Linked DNA regions of Bombyx mori. The protein of the gene in region 2 purifies or fractionates together with the protein of the main gene of each other region. This does not show direct contact. Links are inferred from orthologs where the notes say so. Each region holds a gene or a part of one and is shown on either strand. Other genes may lie near its edges. The genes, in order: gamma-tubulin complex component 3 homolog and gamma-tubulin complex component 2.

Region 1 (3,834 bases), on a different chromosome or scaffold from region 2:
GACTGTACTCGATGCGCTTGACGCGCCAGAGCTGCGTGAACAGGGCCCGGTAGCGCGCGGCGCACGTGGCCGGGAACAGCGTGCCCAGCGGCCCGTCCACGCGGTACTGCAGCGCGAACACGTCCCAGCCGCTGTCCTCGCGCCCGTCGCCTGCCCATGTACGTAACGACTCAACCAGCAAATTTTTTTTTATTGCTTAGTTGGGCGGACGAACTCACAGCCCACCTGGTGTTAAGTGGTTACTCGAGCCCATAGACATCTACAACGTAAATGCGCCACCCACCTTGAGATATAAGTTCTAAGATCTCAGTATAGTTACAGCGGCTGCCCTACCCTTCATACCGAAACGCATTACTGCTTCACGGCAGAAATAGGCAGGGCGGTGGTACCTACCCGCGCGGACTCATAAGAGGTCCTATCACTAGTAAAGGTACTAGCTATATCCGTCCGCTTCGTTGGGCATTTAAAATTAATATTATCATTTCTCACTCCCACAAAGATTCTCGTCATTAACGTCCCCGCAACCGTTGCAGAGTCCAACACTCATATAAATATTCCCCTATCCATTAAGTACATGTATTTTCTACATGGATACCAAGTTTCAAGTCAATCGGATGCATGGTTCAGTAGTTATAACGGAACATCCATAAAACCGCTGTAGATTTATATATTAGTAGAGATCAGCCTATAGAGTTTCTCGTCGGAGCTTCTCAATGGGTCGGTGGTAGATTCGAAGGGAACCACTGCTCTTGCTAGGGCTAGTTTAGCAAATTCTCTCAGGTTGAGCCCGTGAGCTCACTTACCCATCCGGGCATAGCGTACAGGCTATTCCCTCTTAGGCTACCAGGGAATAGGCAAGGAAATAAAGATAAGGTATTGTCGACTAAATTCGGTTTCAAACCGGAACGCATGATAAGCTATGACCCATGGGGCCGCAAAACACATTCTCCTATTTCAAACTATGAGCTCTCTGGCCCCCACTAAAATTAGCATCGAATAAATTAAACATAATATAAATGACCTTTAAAGAATCATTAACGACTTTTGTGAAAACTTTCTTAAACTTTGAAATTGCATGTGGACTTAATATGTACTTACAGTTGGGATACAAATTAACGTGCAATCTAGCGAGCACGTGAGACGGCTCGTACTGCGCGTTGGTAGCACGCACGGCCGCCTCCAACGTACACGTCAGGTTGTGTACGTATAGGGACGTGGCGGGCTTGTTCAGTTCTTCCCTACGAAAATAAACTTGGGTTAGGAACAACATATTTTTTCACCTACCTACGCCGAAAGTTCGGTTTTCCTCCCTGGGTACTACTGACAAGTGCGCATGCGCGTTAGTGTCTCCGTCTGCTCTCACGCACCTAAAATTTTCCGCCATTGTTGTGCTCGGGTAATTTGCAATATTGTGTTTAGTGTAAAAGTGAAATAAACAAAAAGCAATAAAAGTTAATACTGAAGTATTAAACAAAGATGAGTTCATCAGACAGTTCTTATTCAATTAGTAGTAAGTTTATTTAAAAATTAAAAAACAGTTAAATTGTCTGACTATAACTGAATAACAGCTCTGAATTGTAAGGGCCTGGCCACAGCTACTGGCGGTGCGTTTTGCGGTGCGTTGCGAGGCGCGGCGAGCGGCGCTATTTCGGGGGTATGCCACAGCTAGACTAGTTGCGACGGCGGCGGCGTCAGACGTGCACGTATTTAGAAATCCCTATCAAATTTACCTTTCAAAAGTTGAAATAAGTGCGTTCTTAGCTGAAGATATTATTCAATCAAGAATAGGAGCGCACCCAGTTAGAAAAAGAGAGAACTTGGCGAATTTCACCCTATTTACTAGGTATTATATTAGGAATATTAGGAATATAAGAACTATCCCGATAAATAGATTATTAATAGATTCAACCTTCACAGAGATTACCAGGTTCAAATCTCAAATTACCATACGTGTTAATTGGTGATGAAGCCTATCCTCTTAAAAATTATTTGATGCGCCCATATCCACCGGGTGGTTTAAATGCGGAATAAATAATTTTCGACAAAACATTATTCCGGGCAAGTGTCACAATTCAGTACGCGTTTGGTATTCTAACTAATAAGTTTCGTATTTTTACGAAAAGTGTAAAGGCAAACAAAAAGCACGCGACATTGATTATAAAGGTTTCGTGCCTTAAGAGAAAGAGATGGACACAGAGATGCAGATTTTCAGCAGTTTGTTTCCCAGTTTGGAGACTCCAATATTCACAATAGCGTACGCAGATCAAGACGGAATAATCGAGCAACGGTTCAAGCATCTAGAATACGAAATCAATTCAAATTTCAAATTTTATTTCAATAATCCTATCCAAGAGTATCTATAAAACCATTAGTACCAGAAAATTATTTTATTTCGTGCCACATTTTTTTTATAACATGCCTATATTTATGATGTGAATGTTTTGTCATCCATATTTCTGGTCTACTCAGTATTTCACTAATGAATTGTTCCACATCCATTACATTTTATTAGCTCAACGCGCGGTAAAAACAAAATGATTTGTTTCGGTCGCGCGATGCCTCAATGCGTCCACCGACACCGCCGCGCGCGCCGCTCTGAACTGTGGCCGCCTCGATATTGTCTAGTACATTTGTTTCACTCGCACATCGTGCAGCTCGTCGCCGCCAGATGTCACGCGCCTCTCACCGCGCCTCGCAACGCACCGCAAAACGCACCGCCAGTAGCTGTGGCATACTTCATAGGTTGTCTACTATTTGTTTTCGCCGCTCCCGCTTGCCGCGCCTCACGACGCACCGCAATTCGCACCGCTCTCGGCTGTGGCCAAGGGGTAAGAGTGTGTCTTACTGCAACAGCGTCATGAGATGATGCACGAAGTCCCCTTGCGCGAGCAGCAGGTAGCGTCGATGTGCCGCGAGATGATCGAGTAGGTGGTGTCGCGAGCACAGCGCCGCCACCAGGCGCCGTGCCGCCGCGTCGTGCGCGCCCCGCACGGCGCCGCCCAGCCCGGCCGCCTCCCACCACGCGCCCGCACCCTCTGCACGCACGTGGACCCGCTCAGTACTACTGCTTTTATTATGTTCTGCACTTCCAATGGCATTCAATTTGGCATTAAATAATTTATATCTATACGATATTTGAGCTTAGGCTTTGTGATTACGATTGGTTGAAACAAATATGATTGGTATATTGCTATATATAGTAATTAAGAAACAAACATCTGTAGCGTACACAGTTTTATAGGTTTATAAGCAATAATCTACAAGTAATGCAAATAACAATGCCGTTATAATATTATTATGTAGTTGCATTTTTTATCACTCCATCGAACAACATAGAAATAGAGCTTGATTTTGGTATATCACTAAAATCTATTATTATTTTGCAATTTATACTATACTAATCTCTATTTATTACATTGTTAGATACGAGTAAAATTTTGACGGTAGATATTTCCAATTAATGTTGCATGTTGTTACTATAAATTATTGTCATGTACTGCACGATCTGAATTAATTATAACTATTTTAATGTTCTCATTTAAGTGAATTTATGTAATTCTTTTGAGAATAAAGAATATCTTTAACCCGAATTAAAATTTTACCATCATCCTGAACAAATACCTACTTACGTTTCACTTGAAAAACAACTCATATTATTATGTGAAATTAAATGTAATGAAATAAAATTTATCTAATGAGATCGAGGGCTTGATGTTATTGGGTAACGACTATCCCGTCACCTTCCCGTAACCTGTCACGCGTGACAGGTTCGTGACAGAAACGACGCAAGCAGGTCTGAAGTCGTCTTGGCCTCAAGGGTAAGACGTTCGATGC
Region 2 (3,834 bases):
TGGTAGACCGACTGTCCTACTGTTGTTGTTCACAACTTGTATACATGCAATTTTATCCTGAAAATGTTGTAAGCCAAATTCAGAAATCCGTCAAATATCTTGTGTTCTATGACAGCTACCACTACAAAGTCATTATTTTTAAAGTTATACTGGTCTTAAGGATGTCACCTAGTGTTCTTGTCAATAGTGGAACAATTGTAAAAGTTGAAATATTGAATTGTAACAGGCGCATAATTCTTGCGTACAAATGCACTTAACATAAATTTCAATTATTAAATTAAAAAAGGATATTTTTGGATTACCCTCGTAGAGAGATCAGCATGCGGCCCACCTGATGGTTAGTGGTTAACGTCGCCCATGCAATTCAGTAATACCAGGAGAGAGCCAAGCTGCCTACCGTTAAATACTCTCCACAAGCCTCGTTTGAATTACGATGCTAGAATAATTTTATGTAATTCAAAGCAAACCCGAAACAAGTAATTACTTCTATTATTACTTGTGAGACAGCCCATTGTGGGCTTGCACACTTAAGTTCCACTATCTTACTATGTCTACCACGGACCAGTCACACATTCTGGTTTTAAGTATGAAACAGCCATTATGCAGTAAAATAAGATATTTATGACCTTAAGCTTCAATCTTTCATGTTGTTATGCAATGGACTCTGATAAAAATTAACTTTTAACAAAGTTTGTTGTGATAATTATAAAATAGTAGTTTGGTATAGAAATAAAATAACGAACTTAATTACAGACTATGATCGCGCAACTGGAGACGGAACATATGACGGGAAGTTTGTCATTACAGAAATTATGGTATTTTGTGCTACCCACAATGCACACTATGCAAGTTCTTGCCGCTATAGTTACGAAAATTGGAAAAGTAAGTACGACTGTAATATGAATTTGATTCATCGTTTGCATTTTTGTGATCATGGTGTTTATTTATCAACGATATTTTTCTATTTCATAGTCGACTAGCGACCCGCCCTCGCTTCGCTTCGGAAACTGTAATTTATTATTGATTTCTCCACTATTTAATGGATGGTATTATACATATAAACCTTCCTCTTCTATCTCTCTATCTTTTAAAAAAAACCGCATTAAAATCCGTTGCGTAGTTTTAAAGATTTAAGCATACATATGGATATAGGGACAGAGAAAGCGACTTTGTTTTATACTATCTAGTGATAAAGTACGAACAGATTTAAACGCTATTTTCGCCATAACTAGACAAAAGCTAATTGCCAGAAAAGACAAAAATTGCATAACGGAAATTAAAAAATTTCCATGAAAGCGTAAATAAGTATAATTCAAATCATAACTGCGAATAGTGAAAGTCCAATCCTTTTTTTTTCCGTAATCTTTGATAGCCTAAGAGGCTATCCAACTACGCGCCGACGAGTAAGTGAGCTCACAGGCTCAACTAGAGAGAATTACCAACATCAGCCCTAGCAGGAGCAGTGCTACGCTGAATCTACTGTCAGAGCGGAATCGTGTCTTACTGAGAAGATCCGGCGAAAAACTTGGTGGAATAATGCAACATTTACATTAACTCTGGTATTGCAGAGGTTCGGGGGTGCTAGAAACCCCTTTCTATTAAATAGTCCGCATACAGTCTCGACTGTAAAGGGAAAACAGTATTTGATATCTTATTTATAAAAATGAATTTTTGTTCCTCATAGATGCAATCGCGCATTTTTGTGAAATTTTCTCGAAACTTGCTACAATTGTTGTTTTCCACTTTAAGAAAAAACAAATTATCACTAAGATTGATTTTAACAAATACATATTTATCACATTTAGTGATGGTAAAAGATTCCGCGAAGAACTGCTCTTGCTAGGGTTAGTGTTAGCGAATTCTCTCAGGTTGAGCCCACCTACTGAGGTGAGCTCCCCTACCCGTCTGGGCGTAGCTGAAATTGAATATCAACGAATAGGTAGAGGAAGAGATGGTGAAAGTAGATAATGGTTTAGTAAATGAAAAAACTTCTACCAAATATTAAAGGTGCTAGGTTTTATTAGAAAATAAATCATCTATCATAAATCATATATATAAATCTACAGTGGTTTTTACGGATGTTCCGTTATAACTACTAAACCATGCATCCGATTGACTTGAAACTTGGTATCTATGTAGAAAATACATGTACTTAATGGATAGGCTAATATTTATATGAGTGATGAACTCCTTACACCAATTGCGGGGGCGTTAATGATGAGAATCTTTGTGAGGGTGAGAAATAATAATGTTAATTTTAACTGCCCAAAGGACGGGCACAGCTAGTATTATATAAATTCATTGTTTGATATTTGTTTTAATTAAATTATGAATGTGAGAGAAAAATAAGAATATTTTTTTTTTTTAAATCCATTTAAATCTCACAAGTACCTATGAATTTCTACTTAATATCCACAGAGTGAGCTCCGTGGTGGAGCAGTTCTGACAGTACTGCATGACAAAACCAACACATTAATGGGCGACGCACGTGCACAGGAGATATCATTGTTCTTAACAGAACGCGCTTGCCGGCCCTACCTCAACGTCCTGGATCAGTGGATACATAAAGGAACCATTGTCGATCCATTTCAGGTACATACATTTACTAGATTTATTTATGTTCATTTAAGAAAAGAATTATCTGGCTCTTCTGTAATTTCCTTTGCTGTAAGTGACAGATTTATTATCAAAAATAAATATTTTAAAATAAAAATAAATAGTAGCTAAATAGTTACTAGGGGTAGGGCATACTGTGAGCAGCACATCATCACTATTCTGTTGGTTGTTTTGTTGTTCTGTTGATTGTCTTGTTGTCCTGTTGATTGGTTAGTCGTTATATACCATTGAGTCTGTGACCTGTCTCAAGATAAGCAACCGCATTCAGAAGAAGTCAGAAGTCGTCGTAGCCTAAAGGATAAGACGTTCGGTGCATTCGTATCTAGCGATGCAACGGTGTTCGAATCCCGCAGGCGGGTACCAATTTAATTCTACTGAAATACGTACTTAACAAATGTTCATGATTGATTTTCACGGTGAAGAAAGACATCGTGTAATAAAAATCAAACTCGCCAGATTATAATTTATGTAATTACTGTTGGTAACACGTCTTGAGAGTCCGAACGGGTAGGTACCACCATTCTGCCTGTTTCTGCCGTGAGGCAGTAATGCGTTTCGATTTGAAGAGTGGGTCAGCCGTTGTAACTATACTGCGACCTTAGAACTCATATCTCAAGGTGGGTGGCGGCATATTCGTTGTAAATGTCTATGGGCTCCAGTAACCACTTAACACCAGGTGGGCTCGGAGCTCGTCCACCCATCTAAGCATTAAATAAAAAATATAAAAAAATCATATTGTGATGGACAAACCCAACAATAGCAAAAGAAAAAAAAACTAACAAAAGAATTACAATTAATTTTACCAGGAGTTTATGATAGAAGATAACGAGCTAATTAATAAAGAAGAGCTGCCTGTAGATTATTCTGCTGATTATTGGGAGAAGAGATATTGTATACAAAGCGACAGAGTACCGAAATTTCTCGATAAGTTCACTGACATTATTCTTCGAACTGGAAAATATTTGAACGTTATCAGTCAGTGTGGTAAGTTTTAAATTTTGATAAAAAAAGGTTAAATGCTTTTATTTGATCATGTGACAGATAACCTTTGATAATGTTACACCTGAGATATCAATCTTTAATTAAATCCCAATTTATAGATAATGAAGTTCAATGACATCAAAGACAAAATAAGGTCAGCTATCTATTATTTCAGCTTATCACAATTGGTTCTACTATTTTATAGATATCTATGCGATCGTCATAAGATGAAATTTC

The links.
Region 1: the proteins of gamma-tubulin complex component 2 (region 2) and gamma-tubulin complex component 3 homolog fractionate together in Drosophila melanogaster (co-fractionation; 3 studies listed by BioGRID). This does not show direct contact. The link is inferred for Bombyx mori from reciprocal best matches to the Drosophila melanogaster genes Grip84 and Grip91.

Annotation. Positions count from the first base shown.
Region 1 is NC_085121.1:10,749,443-10,753,276, forward strand, and holds part of gamma-tubulin complex component 3 homolog, read right to left. Parts: intron 3,036-3,834; coding exon 2,846-3,035; intron 1,239-2,845; coding exon 1,099-1,238; intron 151-1,098; coding exon 1-150.
Region 2 is NC_085119.1:10,557,172-10,561,005, forward strand, and holds part of gamma-tubulin complex component 2, read left to right. Parts: intron 1-753; coding exon 754-882; intron 883-2,418; coding exon 2,419-2,592; intron 2,593-3,422; coding exon 3,423-3,600; intron 3,601-3,834.